Macaca mulatta: one gene and its partners. Each later gene encodes a partner of the first gene's protein in a complex. Links are inferred from orthologs where the notes say so. Each region holds a gene or a part of one and is shown in the gene's direction. Other genes may lie near its edges.

Region 1 (6,137 bases):
TAAATAATACAACTTCCGTTAAGACACCCCATAAAGTATAGCACTTGATATAGAGTAGAAGAGAAAGAGCATTGGATTAAGGTTATCAGCTCAAAATATGAATTTTTTTCCTTCAGTAGACCTTACTAGTATTGGGCAAATGAAATCAATGAATCTAGCCGGATGCAGTGGCTCACGTCTGTAATCCCAGCACTTTGGGAGGCTAAGGTGGGTGAATCACCTGAGGTCAGGAGTTTGAGACCAGTCTGGCCAACGTGGTGAAACCCTGTCTCTACAAAAAAATACAAAAAGTTAGCTGGGTGTGGTGGCAGGCGCCTGTAATCCCAGCTACTCGGGAGGCTGAGGCAGGAGAATTGCTTGAACCCTGGAAGCGGAGGTTGCAGTGAGCTGAGATTGCATCATTGCACTCCAGCCTGTGCAACAAGAGCAAAAACTCCATCGAGAAAGAAAGAGAAGAAAGAGAAGAAAGAAGGAAGGAAGGAAGGAAAAAAAGAAAGAAAGAAAGAAAGAAAGAAAGAAAGAAAGAAAGAAAGAAAGAAAGAAAGAAAGAAAGAGAGAGAGAAAGAAAGAAAGAGGGAGGAAGGAAGGAAGGAATCTTTGGAAAGACAAAAATATTAATGCTTTTATAAACACATTGGGAAAAGTTTTAGTTTTCAATGATTTAATTAAATTCAAAAACTATATATTAATATCTTTATAGGATTCATATATTATACTTAGCATGGAAGATGAGAAGACATGACCCATTATTACTTTCATATTAAATCTAGTATTTGTTTTGCGCTGAATTTCAAGATGGGAACACCAAGCCTAAAAAGCTTTGTCGAGATCACACCAGACAGTATCAGAACCAGTTCACCAGTGTAACTCAAGATCTTACAAGTCTTTTCTATTAACCATAATTACAGAGATTAAGGTATATCTTATTTTTATATGTCTGTAATTTTTTATCAATATTGATCTTACTTGTCTTAAACTCAAAGAGCGTATACACATTTTCTTCCACTAATTCAGACAATAAAAATATGAACGTGAGCACCCTGCTTTAAAAACATGATATTCCTGAATCTATTTTGCCTTTACCTCCTTTGTTTGCCTACAAGGTGTATGGGCACCTCATTTTATCCTGGAATTACACTAACAATTTACTAAGAATTGAATGATCCTCACCATATCTTATCTATTTCTAAATGTTATGAAATCTGGCAATTCAAAGCTTTAGAGATAAAAGCTATCTCTTCTAGTTTATAGATGAGAAAATTTATGCCCTGATAAATTAAGTGACTTTTAGTGCTGTTTAGGTTACAGGGGTTATAATTATTGTTTCATATCATACATTTACCAAATTATAAAAATGACAAAAGCATTTCAAATTTACAACATTTTCCCCTGATCATATCCAATGATGTATTAAACATATTCAGGAAAAATTATGCTTTGAGATGAAATTTTGTCTAAGAAATAAAGTATGCTTTGTATTTATATTATTTTATAATATTATGTTTATAACATATCTACATTTTCTTTAAGATTGTATTGATTTACAAATATTGTGGTATAAATTATTTTTATATTATAAATAACATAATTATACCAAATATTTGTAAATGTGTGCAGTAATTTTAAAATTATGAATTATTCCAAAGGCTATTTTGACAAATATAATACTGATATATTATATATTATAAAAGAAATACTCTATACACACACATACACAAGTTGAATTTATAACACATACACTCATGTTCTTATGTTATGAAGAAGGTAAAGGAAAAAATAAAAGATTTAAAAACTGCAGGATAAAGTTTCTTGATCTGAGTAACTGATTAGGAACTGCACTTAGGAACTGATGGAGGAATAGCACCCAATTAGCAGAGCTCCAAATTAATAAGAGCCAAATCACAAAACCAATTATGATGAATGCAGTTAATTTTTTTTCTGTGTTGTGCTATGAACACAGATTTGTTAGATATTTTTTTCCTGGATACTTTGTAAGCTATAATTCAACACACACACACACACACACACACACACACGCACACACGCCTAACTCTTTGATTCTTTGAGCAGAATACTATATTCAGATTTCCTTCAAATCACAAGTAGCTTGTTTGGCAAGTTCTAACAGAACTCAGTCAAGGTGAAAGCCAGCCAGCTTTTTACTGGTAACAATGCATTCACACAGCCTATGATCTCTCCCTGTTCAGGCTGCTTCTTGCTCTTGTCTCACAATAAGAAAGGAGTGCTGCTTTCCTGGGGTATGCTATTTGAGAAAGAAAGTAACCTAACACTAACTGCAGGCGGGGTCAGAGTGATGTAACAGGAAGCTCTGATGTTTCCCTTCTGCTGCTGATCACTTACAATCTGACAACACTTACAATCTACTCAGAACAACCTCTCTCTCTCCAGCAGAGTGTCACCTCCTGCTTTAGGACCATCAAGCTCTGCTAACTGAATCTCATCCTGATTGCAGGATCACATTGCAAAGCTTTCACTCCTTCCCACCTTGCCTCTTCTGCGGAATCTCAGAAAGTAAAGTTTCATCCTAAGAATATTTCACAAAGAATTTCCTTAAGAGCTGGACTGGGTAAGTGCACATTCAAAATAAATATATTTATTCTAAGTAGTATTCTCATATAGTTTGGCAATGTTTCTATTATAGAATTTAGTAGGTAGCATTGAAATAATGTTGAAACATACTCTCATTTATTTCACATGCTAGAGAAAATACAGCCTATTACCCCAAAGTTAATACAAAATCTAATACTACTAGATAATATTGTTTACCATGGTATTCTAGAAAATAAATTTAGCAAGTATTAAAAATCTAAATGGATTAAAAGACATATTTCTGAACAAATACCTTAATCAGAGAACAATGCCTTTTAAAATTAGCTCTACTATTAGCTAAGCTTGAATCTTGACAGCTGGAAAACATTTTTCCCCCAGGGTCTTTAAACTTTCCATGTTATCAGCTCTAAGAAAGAGGTGAAAGAATAGCTACTTAATGGGTCTCGGAGTCTCACTTACTCTGTGGTTGAACACAATGCAGAGTTTTGAAAAGTAATCACTTTGCATTTGTTCCATTTGCTTTTATTTGCCTTTCACCTTTATTTACACATATATCTGTAACTACTGAACTAATTTTTGTTATTCATTGTTGCCAGATGTGTTTAAATCTGTTTTCTGCTAACCCTGAACTGTTTCCTCTTTATGTGGATCATGGTGTCGGCTACAAAGAAAAGACCTAGAGTTTAGGAAATGTAGATTGTTAAAACAATTCTTAATTTTGAAATCTTTAAGAGAATACTTCAACTTGACTGGTTCCCCTCTGCAAGCTTTTGGAGGAGGGTGTGATACCAAGATATCTGTGGATAAAGAAATGTGACAGCTTTCCTAAACAAGTATATTAGATGATTAAATGAAGAAATTAAAGTACTTATTAAAAAAGAATTTCCAGGATGGAACTTACTGAAATGTTGAGATAAAACATCTGTTAATGCTCTCCGATGGTACAGACTGTCCTGAACAATTTAAGAAACTAGTGTCTGCTTAACAAATTGTTTGTATAGATATAGCACAAATTTGTTGCTGGAGAAAGTTTGATGTCAAATTTTAAATGACATTGATAGATATAATTTTTAAGTTATACAGTTTCTTACCTAAATGAAATTATACTTTCCAAGATGTCCTGCATTGGAAGCATCCTGTACTTAATCACTCATATCTGGCACATTAATAGTAGGCTACAAACATCCTGAGTAACTCTTCAGTAATTTACAACTCAATTTTTCCACAAATTCCTCAACATAATGAAGATTTAAATTAATTCTTAGATTTGTGATTCTTTAAAGGTATCATGGCTGATTTCTCTCTCTTTTCAATCTTCAATTGTACTGAGTTCCCTGACACATGTGTAGAAATGGGAAGAGTGTTTTTAGAATGTGACTTTCGCCATTATATAAATGGGGGAGAAAGTGGAAACAACACATTTACTAACCCAATGCGATGGCTTACTAACAAAAATTAAAACAACATTATTTTTAATTCAGATTATTTTCTTAGGAGGTATTATATTACAATCATATTTTATAATGAGAAACTCTCCAAACTTCCTTAATTTTTGTTTAATTGCCAGCCTCAAACCCATAATTCTCTTATATAATTTGATTAAATTTTTATGAGTTTACTAACAGTATGGGTTATAATCTTTGTTTTCCAAAAATACTTTTGAAAAACACTAGACGATGAACATTGAAGGTCATTCGCCAAAGGAAATCTTTGAGGACATAACTGGAAGTTTGAAATAAAAATTCAGATTATTGTGTTCAAAATGTGCTTTCTTTAATGATAAGAGAATGTCAGAGTATCAATGCATGCTTTTAGCCATAAAGAAATGAATTTACTTTGCTAGATGATGTTTCCTTGTAGCATCATAAAATCAATGCATTGAGCCTTCAGTCAATTCTAAATAAGTAAAATTAAACACAGAATTGAAACATTATGTGAATAACGTGAGCTAAAATATGTTTTACCTGAAATATTCTATTTCTTAAAGAGATAATGTTTTCAGTTATTGTTACAAGATTTTTTCTATCTTACATACCAAAGCATTATACTAAAAGTTAAAATATGTAGATTTTTATAATATATGAAACTGTTCATTCACTTTGAAAAACTGGAATAACAAAAACATTTTTAAAAATAATACTGGGTCTGTAACTTTGAAAATTGTTTTAAATGAATGGGCAAGATGTATATGCTTTTCTCACTGGTAACTCCGAACATGTATGAATTTTAAGTGAAGTCAATACTTAGCATATTTGTAAGAACATTTACGTTCACTTGCACATATTACACTATTTTTTCATGCATAACAGAAATAAAATTTAATAAAAAAATATTGAAAATAATATAAAGGTAAAACGATTATGTTATTTGCTTTACAGATTAATGTGGACAAGTTATTTGATAAACACATAAAGACTAACTGAATTTCAGTTAATAGCATCACTACATATTTCTAACTAGATCATATTTGGAAACATTGTAAAAATATTTTGTTACCAATTTTATCTACATGGCAGAAGTTTGATAGTAACTTAATTTTAAAAGATTATTCTAGATCTTTATAGAAAACAATAATAATCTTTAAAGGATCAAAAATGTATTCAGTAAACAAAATTTATTTCATACTCTACATATGACCTTGAATACAGCTTTAACAAATAATTCTGGTTTTGGAGATATGATTACAGTACCAACTTTTCAGAATACAAATATGTTCAAGAAAGGTTATTTAAAATCTTTTGCTTTATTGCGTATCTTATGCTTGGCATTCAGAGAAGCTATTAAACCATAAACACAAGCTCTATCATTGCAATGGTGTTAATGAAAGACACTCTTATGAGAGTCAAGTGTGTAATGTATCTTAGTTTTGACTTACTCACAATTTTGGAGAATACGCTTAAGATAGACAAATGGTACACAGCTATTTAAAACATTTATCTGTATCTGGTTTTCAAATCTATGGGTAAACTATACACATTCACAATTTCTCAGGTATGTTCTATTTTTCTGACAAAGTACATGTACCATACTGGATTACATATTATTTCAAGACATCTTCTCATTTAATATACAAAAATATTATGATGCAAATAGGTGGAAAATAAAAACTTACCAGAAATACAAGATAAACTCTGCATTCTAACCAGATGGATCTATCCTTTTCCCATTTATTCACATGGACCATGTGAATTTGATTAAGTCAATTAATCTCTGCATTTTTCCTTATTTGAATAATCTTAAACTCAAATTAATTTAATTGTAGTAAGCTATATTACAAAAAAGAGAAGAAATGTATTCCATTTTTAAGGACACAATCAGGTCTTACTTCTTACAAAAATATAAAATAGTATCACTGCCTGTGAACTGAGTTAGGGTCTCTGTTTCCTAGGTTACTAGAATTATTATCAGGTAATAAGTTGCAAATATTTTCCGAAAACACAATTCTTCCATTTTTTTCTTCAATTAGTCTGTTTACTTAAGAGACAGTATTATTCAAAACTAACACACCAAAATATTATTGTTTGCAAAGATGGCCCAACTAGTGTATTTACTTTTGAAATGTTAAA
Region 2 (6,269 bases), on another chromosome or scaffold:
ACAGAGTAAATATCAGGATAATGGTGAATCAGGACTTGATCAGGAGAGAGACTACACTGCAATCTGAATGGGTAAATTTGGTATAAAGAATTATGAACCGGCCGGGCACGGTGGCTCACGCCTGTAATCCCAGCACTGTGGGAGGCCAAGGCAGGAGGATCACCTGAGGTTGGGAGTTCATGACTAGCCTGACCAACATGGAGAAACCCCGTCTCTACTAAAAATTCAAAAATTAGCTGGTGTGGTGGCACAAGCCTGTAATCCCAGCTATTCAGGGGGCTGAGGCAAGAGAATTTCTTGAGCCCCGGAGGCGGAGGTTGCGGTGAGCCAAGATCATGCCATTGCACTCCAGCCTGGGCAATAAGAATGAATCTCCTTCTCAAAAATAAATAAATAAATAAATAAATAAATAAATAAATAAATAAATAAAAAATACAAAATTAAAAAAATAAAGAATTATGAACCATAAGAGGCGATTCCTGAGAGGACCCCAGTGCTCACAGGATCACAGACATAGAGAATGGTGCCAGGGCCAGCACCCACCGAGGGACAAGCAGGGAGACAGGTGTTGTCCAGGGTACACCTCATGGTCAGTCTCATTTATGGTGGCAGCCCTTCCACTCGCAGGGTCGGGGGGATGCACTGTGGAAGGGGTAGGTCCCCCTCTCCCAATGCTCAGCTCCTCACAGCCTGTGTTAAACCCACCTGCCCTGCAGAGGCCATGGGCAGCACTGGGCAGAAAGGAGAAGTGAGGGCCCTGTCTTAGAGGGACATAGAGGACAGTAGACACAACTCCCTGGGAGTTTGTCAGGGCATGGTTGGTTCCTTGGAGAAGAGGTGTTGGAACCAACTCTGCAGGATGGCCAGGGCTTCCCCACTGCAGAGTCAGAGTGGGGAGTCCAGGAAAGGGAGCATTGCTCCCTGGTGCAGGCTTGGGGGAACTGGCTGCCCCCACTCCCACCTGACAACCCCATCCTCCTGTTCCAGCCTGTAAGCTGTGTGCAACTGCCTTTGGGGCTGTGGGACTGAGTGGGGACTAAGACTCTCCTGGAGAGAGCTATAAGGCCGAGTCTGTGTGGGATGTGGGTGGACACCCGGGCCTGGACCGTCCTCTTGGTTTGTCGTGGCTAGTGTAGGGTATGTGTGTGTGTGAGCCAGACCCCTGCTGCCCTGGTGGGCTTGTTTTGTGGCCCCGGCCTGTGGGCACCAGCAGTCTCACTGGAGGCTCTGTGGCCACCCCTGCACCTGCTGCCCACCCCTCAGGCAGAAGGCAGGACAAATGATCAATTTTAATTAGTTTTGACTCCTTTGAATTAATTCTGGCTGCAATCAGAATTTCTTCAGTAAAAAAGCACAGAAAGTTCTGCTCCCAAATAAGGGTCTTGTTAAATAAAGTGGGTCTTTCTAAGCCAGGAGAAGGTCAGCTCAGCTCCTGGGAAGGTAGCAGTACCTACGGCTCAGAGCAGTGGAGGGCCCATCCGTGTGGGAGCCTGGGCCTGTGCTCCAACCTCAGACCAGCATGCGCCCCCAGGGGTGGTGGGTGGGCCCTGGAGGGCAGAGAGGGGCCTCTAGCTGGCTCTCGGAAGTCCTGGCCAGTGACAATTCTGCAGACACCATCAAGTGTCCACTGGAGCCAGGGCCTGTGCTAGGGGCTGAGGATGACAGAGGCGACCCATCTGGCTAAGTGACCTGTGGCTGGAGAAACTGAGGCCTTCCTTCCCCTCAGGAACCCTGACACTCTCCGAGGCCAGGTCTTTGGGGGCGCCAGATACTCTTGTCCCTCGGTTTGCTTGTGGCTTGGTCCTTGATGTGTGATATATCTCTGTGTGTAGCTGCCACATCCTCCAGTCTCTCTCATACACACTGTTTCCCAAGCACACACTCACAAACACACCTTGTCTCAGACTCAAACTCACACATGCCACACACACACCATACATCACACACTCCATGCACACACATGCATCTACACATACTCCACATGCACATCACACACATATTCCATGAACACCACACACACACACACACACACACACACACACACACCCACCCACCCACCCCAACCTCCTTCATGCACTTTCCTGACCCTTGGAGACCTGGCTCCTAGATGTGTCTCTGCTCAAAGGTCCCCTCCCTGCCTGGGGGCAGCTCTGGACTCTGGTCTACTTTCGGCCAGGGCACACCTAGCCCACCCCCAGGTCCACCTTCCTCCAGTCTACCCGCAGCCTCCTCTAGGCCATCATCAGTCCGCGCTTCATCCACACCTCAGCTCCCTCCCCGGTCTACCCCCACACTCTGCCCCCAGCCTGGACGGAAGTTCCCCAAGTCCTTCCAGCCTGCAGCCCAGCCTACCATTAGCCGGCCCCCACTCTCACTCCAGCTCACCTCCCAGCCTGCCCCTGCAGTCTGCTCCCAAAACGCTCCTTTGCAGCTCAGCACCCCAGTCCCGCCCTCAGAGCCGGCACCCCACCTTACCCCAGCTAGTCCCCAGCTCGAAACCCAGCCCTCACCCCACTCTCACCCCCGCTGAGATTCCAGCCCAGACTCCAGCCGCCCCCTGTCCCTCCCACCTGGCGCGCCTGCAAGGCCTGCACCCCACATCTGGAGGTAACGGGCACGGCTGGAGGCGTGGTCTGGGGGGTGCGGCCTGGGGGCGGACTCCCTGAGGCCCCGCCCCACCCCAACCCCATCCGGGCGTCCCCGGTTGCACCCCCAGCCGGACCAAGCGTGACCCAGCCGCGGCCGGCCAGCCATGGAGACTGGAGCGCGGCGGCGCCCGCAACTTCTCCCGCTGCTGCTGCTGCTCTGCGGTAAGGGGGCGTCGGCCCGCACCGGAGGCGCCCCCACTTCCCGGAGTTCATCGGACCCGCGTGGACCCGCGCCTTCCTGCACCTGCGCCGCAGTCCTTCCTTTCCCCCTGAGCTCGGGAGGGGCGCACAGCGACCCTGGCAGGCTCCCCAGGCTCTGCGGGAGGGTTCACCCGGGAGAAGCTGAAGGCAAAGAACTCTGGCGGGCAAGGGAGGCACAGGGTCCCCTCCGGGCTCTTCTGCCGGCGGGGTCCGGCAGTCCCCGCTCCTCCTAGTTGTGATGTCCCCCCACGCCCCAGTTCTGGGGTCGCCTCAGGGTGGGCGAGAGAGGAGGCGGACCGGGTCTGGCTCCTTCCCCCTTCCCCCTAGGATGGGTTGTCGGTGAGGTAGTGAGCTCCCTGTCCTGGCATTGAGTGCCTGCCCACCACTCACAGGGGCGTGGGCGGGTGGACTCCGGACTGCGTAGCTGGTCCTCCCAGGGCCCGTCAGTGTGTGGACGCTTGTGTGTGTCTTGGAACTGGCTGACAGGGGAAGCGGGGCGACTCTCTGAGCCATCCTCTCCTAATGTCTTCTTCCGCAATAAATCAGGACTCTGGGGAGAACCGTTGCTCACAAAATGGAAACAGATTAAACTAAAAGCTTATTTTGAACTACCTTACTAAAGAAATTATCCAAGAGAAAGTGAGAGAGAGAGGTGGGGGGGGGAGAGAGAGAGAGAGAGAATGTGTGTAAGGGCTGTTGGGGAAGAGTGCTTGCTGAGGGCTGGAGTCCACTAAGTGGCGACTGAGCCTGGCCAGTTCTGGGGGGACACTGGTGAGGGAGGGCCCTGGTCTGGTGGTCCCCAGTTTCCCTGACTGTAAGATGCAGCGTTGGGCCTGTTTTGATGATTTGGGATTTGGTAAGGGAGGTGGGAAAAGGGTGGACCAAACTCAGTGTTCATTTTCCTTCCATTGAAGAGGTCTTGGTGTGCAGAACATGTGTGGCTTCATTTGGTGTTCCAGGGCTGGAGCCTAGGACGTGGTTCATTTTGTGTTGAAGTGCAAAGGTGCGTGGCAATCAGGAGCATGCTGATTTGGGATTTCAGCAAACTTCCAGTGAGCTCCCCTCAGGTGGAGATCTTGGTCACTATAATGGAAGGAAGGTCCTCTGAATTCATTCTGGGAGAAGCTGAGGCTTTCCTGACCATCTCCAGTATGGAATTGAGAAGGACCACAGGCTTCCGCCTGCACAGAATCCCTCCTCTTAATAATCCTGTCTCTCGTGGACCCAGTTCCTGAGGGTCACTTCTTTGTCTTGTTGTGTTGGTCCTGACTGTCCCCCTCCAATGGGACATGGGTTCATGCTCCCTGGCCAGAATGGAGACCAGGCCCAGCTTCTCAGCAGACCCTCCCAGTGTTTGCCTGGCCAGAGTGAGATTCAGAGAGAGGTAAAACTTGCTCATGGTTCCAGGCTGATGTGTCAGAGGTGGGACTGGAGCCCACATCTGCCCTGGATGCTGCTGTATCTGGAAGGAAGGAGCTGGGTGGGTTCCTCTTGAGTGAGGACTGGCTCAGGGGGACCAGCAGGGAGGGTGCTGACCTCTGGGGCTTCTTTGAGAATTCCAAACCTTTTTCCAGAAAGCATTTGATGCTGTGCAGGGCTGTGGGGATGCAAAGTTCAGCAGTTGTCTACTCAGCAGGATGCTTTGCTGTTTTCTATTTTGATTCAGTTCCTGCGACTTTTACTAATGCAGCCAGTAGTCCAGCCCTTGACTGGACTCTTTTGGTCTGGGTGAAAATCCCGATCATGATCCCAAGATTACAAAGCACTCACTGGCCTCAGTTTCCCAGCTGCAATGTAGATGTAATAGTAGCAACCTGCAAAGGGCTGCTGAGACCGTCAGTTTGATTCCATTCAGTTTAGTCTTTATCGTCTTGTGTTGGGCATGGGATTGTGGGGTGGAAGGATTCATGCTTAAACAAGGGGAGGTGTAGGAAGGCACCCACCAGTGACTGCACTGGGCCTCATGAGGCTCACTCACAGCACCCAAAGATGGAGCACCATAGTGTGTGTGCCTGTGTGTGCAAGCATGTGAACATGGTACCACCATTTTTATCACTAAATGATGTCCTGCTACCATGTTACCTGTGGTCACATTGATTCTGCTGAATCAAGTGGGCCCAAGGGCCGTGGTTGGATAGCAGTAACTCTGGTGAATTAAAGACTTGGAGGTGGCAGGCCGGGGGCAGTGGCTCACGCCTGTAATCTCAGCACTTTGGGAGGCCGAGCAGATCACGAGGTCAGGAGTTTGAGACCATCCTGGCCAACATGGTGAAACCCCATCTCTACTAAAAATACAAAAAATTAGCTGGGTGTGGTGATGCATGCCTGTAGTCTCAGCTACTCGGGAGGCTGAGACAGGGGAATCACTTGAACCTGGGAGGCGGAGATTGCAGTGAGCCGAGATTGTGCCATTGCACTCCAGCCTGGTGACAAAGCGAGATTCTGTCAAAAAAAAAAAAAAAAAAAGAAGACTTGATGGTGGTGATTGGCCAAGAAGAGGCCCATAGATTTTTGGCACTGGAGGTTCCTTGGAGGTTATCTGACCTCCATGCTCTTACCTACTCTTCATAAGGAAACAGAAGTCTGGAGGGTTGAGAGGAAGTTGCCCAACCACAGAGAACAGGGGCAGAACCACCCAGAATCCACAGCCTCCCAAGGTCGACTGACCATGGCCCATGGCAGCCACTTGCCAGTCTGATCGATGCTCTTTCTGTTAAGGATGGGGAGAGCGCCTGCGTTTCATTTCCAAATGACTAGCCACAAAAGCCCTTTCTCGCGGAAGTGCATCTGTTTGGCTGTTTATCATCTCTCGGCGTCTGGAAGTCCCTGAGACAAAAGAAACACAGGCCGGCATGTTCTTTGTCTCCCAATGAAACCAACCAAAATGGATTTCTATTTTGATTCAGTTCCTGTGACCTTTACTAATGCAGCCAGTAGCTTGATTGGCAATGACCCTCTTTTGTGGTGTTGCCAGGAATCTGTCTTTACACCATTGTTCTAACATTGGGTGGGTTGTCAGGTTTTGCTGGGAGCCCCTCAAGCCTCATGTGCACTAGAAATGAGCTTCCTGGGAGGACACTTGGTCTCTCAGGGTGCCTGCCTTGTGCAGGCCCAGGGCTGGCGCTGTCACAGGCATCCTCATAGCACCTCCATGGGCAGAGAAGTTATCTCAGAACACCTGCCTGAGGATGGCCTGTGGTCCTCAAAGGCACATTTACAATCTGCCCAGGCCAGGTCCTTGCCATGGGGCATGTGGAGGTTCTGGGGTATGCAGAGATTTGGGGCATGCAGAGATTCAGGGAGGGGCATGTTGTCAGGGACCCCTCCTTCTCTTTAGATAGCTATGCCACCTGGGTGCGTGTTTGTAGAGTCCTGGGGGAGGGGCTGGGCAATGCCCTGGCACTGGGGGTGGTGTGGAAT
Region 3 (5,165 bases), on another chromosome or scaffold:
AGGCTGCAGTGAGCTGAGATTTCACCACTGCACTCCAGCCTGGGTGACAGAGTGGGACTCCATCTCAAAAAAAAAAAAAAAAAAAAAAGCCGGGCGCGGTGGCTCAAGCCTGTAATCCCAGCACTTTGGGAGGCCGAGATGGGTGGATCATGAGGTCAGGAGATCGAGACCATCCTGGCTAACACGGTGAAACCCCGTCTCTACTAAAAAAAAATACAAAAAACTAGCCGGGCGAGGTGGCGGCGTCTGTAGTCCCAGCTACTCGGGAGGCTGAGGCAGGAGAATGGCGTGAACCCGGGAGGTGGAGCTTGCAGTGAGCTGAGATCCGGCCACTGCACTCCAGCCTGGGCGACAGAACGAGACTCCGTCTCAAAAAAAAAACCTATAAATGTGACACTCCTTGCCCCTTAACTGGTCAAAATAAGTAAATAATACCTGCAGGGTATCCCCGCCCTCCCAGAACGGCCTGTGTGGTGTGTGCTCGGCACTCCTCGACTTATTCATCCAGCAGATGTTGACTGTGTTCCCAGGCTGGGGGCACAGCAGGGGGTTACAGGGTGAGTGCAGGGGTTGGGGAGACAGAAGGGGAAGCACAAACAGACGCAGAGATCCTCAGCTAACCCAAGAGAGAGGCCAGTCTCAGCAGCTTGGAGCCCATGACACCAAGTCCAGGACTCGTGGACGGTGGGTAGGCGAAAACTGTGGAGAACAGTGAACCATCTATCAACACCAACACGCACTCACCTTCAACCAGAATTTCTACTTCCAGGAAGGTGTCGTACAGACACGTCTGTGAGCTCGAGGCAGCAACTCACAAAAAGACTGGTGGTCACCTAATTTCACGTTAATCGCAGGTGAAGTGAATCATGCAACACCTATATGCTGGAGTAGGTCCAACCATAGGAAAGAATGGGGTCTCTGATGTGAGGACGGTCAGGCTGTGAGGCCTGTCACCCCACTGGTCACCAGGGTTGATTCGGCTGATGTGGTTGGCTCAGAGGTAGGTGTCCCCTCCTTCCCCACCGTTCCCTGTGTGTCCCTCTGAAGCTGTGTGCTTCGTCAAAGAGGATGAAGGATCAGGCTTCCAGTAGCTGTGCTCCTCTGCCAGGACCTACAAACAAGCTCTCAGTAAAGAATGGGGTCTCAGTCCTATTGCAGGTCTGCACACATGGATGTGTGTGCCTCACACGGCCGCACCTTGGTGTGCCCAGGGCGGGTCAGGAGAGGGCTCCCACCCAGACCGGGGTAGGGGTACCCAGTGGGTGGTAATGATGAGGAGAGTCTCACGTTTCACTTGTTTAAATTTCTTTTTTTTTTTAATTTTTGAGACGGAGTCTCACTCTGTCGCCCAAGCTGGAGTGCAATGGCACGATCTCAGCTCACTGTAACCTCCACCGCCTGGGTTCAAGCCTCAGCCTTTCCTGCCTCAGCCTCCCAAGTGGCTGAGATTACAGGGACCCGCCACCAAGCCCAGCTAATTTTTTTTGGGGGGGGGGTTCGGAGGCGGAGTCTAGCTGTGTCCCCCAGGCTGGAGTGCAGTGGCTCCGCCTCCCGGGTTCACACCATTCTCCTGCCTCAGCTTCCCGAGTAGCTGGGACTACAGGCGCCTGCCACCACGCCCGGCACATGTTTTGTATTTTTAATAGAGAGGGAGTTTCACCGTGTTAGCCAGGATGGTCTTGATCTCCTGACCTCGTGATCCACTCGCCTCGGCCTCCCACAGTGCTGGGATTACAGGCGTGAGCCTCCGCGCCCCACCGGCCCATGACCAGCTAATTTTATTTTTAGTAGAGACGGGTTTCTCCATGTTGGCCAGGCTAGTCTCAAACTCCAGGCCTCAGGTGATCCGCCCGCCTCGGCTTCCCAAATTGCTGGAATTACCGGAGTGAGCCACCGCGCCCGGACACTTGTTTAGATTTGTTACAGAAACCGTGCAATACTTTGGTCTGGGGTTGGAGCGGCTGGCGGTAGGTAGAGCTTTTTAGGAGCGCAGCCCCGGGTTTGGGGACACCGCGTCAGACGATAGCGGAATCCCGCAGACTCCCTGGTCAGGCCCGGGTCCGGGGTCCACCGGATCAGACCCTGGAGGGTGGGACCGCCAGGACCCACCAATCGGGAGGTGGTTGACAGGGTGAGAGTCCGCCCCAGCCGTGGGATCAGCTTGGACTACGGCTCGCCCCCTAGAACCCCGCTTCAGCCTGGGGAAGTCCGGCCCCCCCAGGCTCGGGGCTGCGTCCCCACTAGAAGGCGCCTGGAGTGAGGCTGGCAGCCCCGCGGTCCCGGGCCGGTCGCCGAGCGCTCCCGGCGGGAACAGCCCCCTCCCCGCCCCGGAGCGTGGCTTAGCCCGGGGCAGGGGCGCCCCGCCCCGTCCGTGCACCCGGCTCCGCCCCTTGCTGGAAAGGCTACGTATTCAGCTCCAGAGGTGCCATCCCGGCCGCGACTCTGCTCCAGACAGGACCCCCAACCCGCCCAGCCCGCTCCGCCTTGCGCTCTGGACCCGCGGCCGACCCCAGACCCGCTGCCCGCTTCGCACCCGAGGCCTGCGCCCCGACGGACGCCCGTGCCCAGCTTGCCATACCCACGCCCGGTGCCCCGACCGCGGAGGGCTCCCCGAGGTGCCGGCGGAGGGGGTGGCTCGCGGCTCAGGCTGCCCCCGACCTGCCCGGCTCACCGCTCCCTCCCCTGCAGCGCCGCCCGCCATGGCCCGGATCCCGACGGCCGCCCTGGGTTGCATCAGCCTCCTCTGCCTGCAGCTCCCTGGCGTGCTGTCCCGCAGCCTGGGCGGGGACCCGCGTCCCGTCAAACCCAGGTGAGTCCAGGTCTTGGGCCAGCCAGCCCCTCTGGCCCCCACAGGGAAGCAGAGTACCGGGGGCCGCCCTCCCTCCAACCGCCACCTGCTGCTAGGGCTCCCGTCCCAAACCAAGGCCCCTGCCCCAGGCTCAGCAGCGCCTGAGCAGGGCCAGAGGACCCTCTTCCTCTGCCTCCCTGCACAGGGCAGTTGCTTCTCCCCACACAGGTGGACACAGCAGCCCCTTTTCTGGGGGTGTCTGCTGGGGGAGGGACGGCTGGCGGTATCCCCAGGCCCACCTGTGACCAAAGGGAGGGCAGAAGCTGAGTCACCCTGAGCCCTGAGAGTGGTGACCCGCAGAGGCTGGGCCGCGGGGGTGCCCTTTGCTCAAGGAGGTGCCGGTTCCCAGGACACGTGACCCGGGCCACTGAGATGGTCCCAGGCCCCAAGCCCAGAGGGGACGCGTGGGCTTCCCCTGGCTATGCTCCAGGCTGTGTGGGTGGGGGCCGTGGGCTTCCCCTGGCAGTGACCCAGGCCTGTGTAGAGGCAAAAGTGGGTAGGTGTGAGGTCTCTGAAAGGCTGAGCCATCCAGTTGACATTCTCCATCTGCCTCTGCAGGGAGCCCCCAGCCCGGACCCCTTCCAGCAACCTGCAGCCCAGGCACCCCGCACCCCGACCTGTGGTTTGGAAGCTTCACCAGGCCCTCCAGCCACAGAGGGGTGCTGGCCTGGCCCCTGCTATGGGTCAGCCTCTCCGGGATGGTGGCCGCCAACACTCGGGCCCCCGAAGACACTCGGGCTCCCGCAGGACCCAAGCCCAGCTCCTGCGAGTGGGCTGTGTGCTGGGCACCTGTCAGGTGCAGAATCTCAGCCACCGCCTGTGGCAACTCATGGGACCGGCTGGCCGGCAGGACTCAGCTCCTGTGGACCCCAGCAGCCCCCACAGCTATGGCTGAAGTGGGGCTGGGCCACACCCCTGGCCATCCCAGCCAGGGTGCTGTGCCCCCGTCCAGAGCTGCAGCTGAGTCCCCTCCGCAGCCCAGTCCCGCGGAGCTGCAGACAGCAGGTCCTGCAGCAACAATGCCTGCACGGCGTTGCACACGTAAACCCTTGCACACCTGTAGACCGAGGCTGGTCTATATGCAGTGCTGGTATGTCAAGGAGCCTAAACACCCTGAAATTGTAAACCCTTGGGGGATGGCTGCCAGACCCAGCTGGTGGCAGCACCAGATGCTAAAAAGCGTTTTAAAAAGGAGGCATCTGCCAGGGACGTGGAGCAGAAGCTGGGCCCTGAACCCACAGGGCCACGTCTGGACGAACAGGGGAGAGGGGCTGAATTGGCCGGAAGCGGCCCCTCCGCTGCTGGTCCAGTCAGACTGAAGCCCGGCCTTGTGCCTGGGCTGTTCCTGCTGTCGTGCACAACCAGCCCTTCCACGTGCCTGCCTGGCCGGGGGTCCCAGCCTCTCCCTCCCCATGCCTTTGGGACAGGACAGGGAGTGTGGGATGCTATAGCCCCCTGGGGTTGGGCAAGGGAAGGATGGTGGCCCTCCAGAGGTCATGAAGGGACCTCTGTGGCTCCAGCTGCCAACCCTGGAGCCCAGACTGAGGTAGCCATGGGGACTCCATCTGGATGCCCTGTGGGAGGCCGGGGAGGGGAACTCAGCAGTTCAGAAGCCACCCCAAACCATTCTGGGACAGGGACACCCCTTCCTACCCCAGGACAGGGCAGGGCTGGGTGGGGCAAGACCCCCAGCCCAAATAGACCCACCCCACCTCAAGGGGGTGAGACCCTTGTTGGCAGCCAGACAAGGGTGGGGCTCCACAGGCAACCCAGGCGCCCCACCACCACCCAGTGTGGGGGCCCAGTGGAACCAGGTGTGGGGGCAGCAGGTGACTCGCCAAGAGCCCGGGAGGGCAGCCCAGCCCCAAATGACAAGAACAAGAACCACTGCCAGTGTGCACGGACTTGGTGTGTGTTCTTCCCCGGGGAGATGGGGGCTCATGTGCGTGTGCCACTCGAGGCTCCCAGTCGTCCAGCAGAACGCGGGGTTCAGAAAGGGTTCCTTCCGCTACTTAGCAAACACTCAGCATTTAATTTGCAAATGTTTGCTAGGGTCACCCTCTCAGCCACCCCATGAGGGTCACCATGATCACCCCAACTCTAGAGGCTACAGCAGAGCTCAGGACATTCCCCCACAGCCTGCCCCTCAGTGACTACTTCCAAAGGGGAGGGTCCTGGAAGCGCCCACCCAGGCGCCGCCTCTGTGCTTGCTCCCTGAGCTCAGGGATCGCCGGGTCCAGGTAACTGACCTGTGCTCCATGAGGCCCTGTGGGAACAGTCCAGGCTGATCCTGCCCTGTGGAGGCCTCCATGCACTG

Evidence for each region.
Region 2: the proteins of CALCRL (region 1) and RAMP3 are in contact, whole or in part, in a cryo-EM structure (PDB 6UVA), measured with the Homo sapiens proteins. The link is inferred for Macaca mulatta from reciprocal best matches to the Homo sapiens genes CALCRL and RAMP3. Residues at the interface, in NP_001258680.1 of Homo sapiens: Arg38, Asn39, Met42, Thr43, Gln45, Tyr46, Glu47, Tyr49, Gln50, Met53, Trp69, Asp70, Ser117, Arg119, Thr120, Phe228, Leu231, Ile235, His238, Thr239, Val243, Val245, Lys249, Gln250, His251, Trp254, Tyr255, Phe257, Leu258, Phe262; in NP_005847.1 of Homo sapiens: Trp56, Cys57, Leu59, Phe62, Ile63, Tyr66, Glu67, Thr70, Cys82, Tyr83, Pro85, Asn86, Pro87, Leu88, Gln90, Ile93, Thr94, His97, Arg98, Cys104, Thr105, Val106, Asp107, Arg108, His110, Leu111, Glu112, Asp113, Pro114, Val118.
Region 3: the proteins of CALCRL (region 1) and ADM2 are in contact, whole or in part, in a cryo-EM structure (PDB 6UVA), measured with the Homo sapiens proteins. The link is inferred for Macaca mulatta from reciprocal best matches to the Homo sapiens genes CALCRL and ADM2. Residues at the interface, in NP_001258680.1 of Homo sapiens: Val36, Thr37, Lys40, Asp70, Gly71, Trp72, Asp90, Tyr91, Phe92, Gln93, Asp94, Phe95, Asp96, Pro97, Ser98, His114, Ala116, Ser117, Thr120, Trp121, Thr122, Tyr124, Thr125, Asn128, Thr131, Lys134, Val135, Ala138, Leu139, Leu141; in NP_001240774.1 of Homo sapiens: Leu106, Arg107, Val108, Gly109, Cys110, Val111, Leu112, Gly113, Thr114, Cys115, Gln116, Val117, Gln118, Asn119, Leu120, Ser121, His122, Arg123, Leu124, Trp125, Gln126, Leu127, Met128, Gly129, Pro130, Ala131, Gly132, Arg133, Gln134, Asp135.

Annotation. Positions count from the first base shown.
Region 1 is NC_133417.1:92,406,916-92,413,052, reverse strand, and holds the start of CALCRL (calcitonin gene-related peptide type 1 receptor), read left to right. Parts: upstream 1-2,387; 5' UTR 2,388-2,587; intron 2,588-6,137. UniProt on the Homo sapiens protein: G protein-coupled receptor which specificity is determined by its interaction with receptor-activity-modifying proteins (RAMPs). Together with RAMP1, form the receptor complex for calcitonin-gene-related peptides CALCA/CGRP1 and CALCB/CGRP2.
Region 2 is NC_133408.1:83,271,498-83,277,766, reverse strand, and holds the start of RAMP3 (receptor activity-modifying protein 3 precursor), read left to right. Parts: upstream 1-2,690; 5' UTR 2,691-2,752; coding exon 2,753-2,810; intron 2,811-6,269. UniProt on the Homo sapiens protein: Accessory protein that interacts with and modulates the function of G-protein coupled receptors including calcitonin gene-related peptide type 1 receptor (CALCRL), calcitonin receptor (CALCR) and G-protein coupled estrogen receptor 1 (GPER1).
Region 3 is NC_133415.1:974,867-980,031, reverse strand, and holds ADM2 (protein ADM2 precursor), read left to right. Parts: upstream 1-2,583; 5' UTR 2,584-2,615; intron 2,616-2,688; 5' UTR 2,689-2,699; coding exon 2,700-2,809; intron 2,810-3,406; coding exon 3,407-3,743; 3' UTR 3,744-3,886; downstream 3,887-5,165. UniProt on the Homo sapiens protein: Intermedin/ADM2 is a peptide hormone that plays a role as physiological regulator of gastrointestinal and cardiovascular bioactivities mediated by the CALCRL-RAMPs receptor complexes.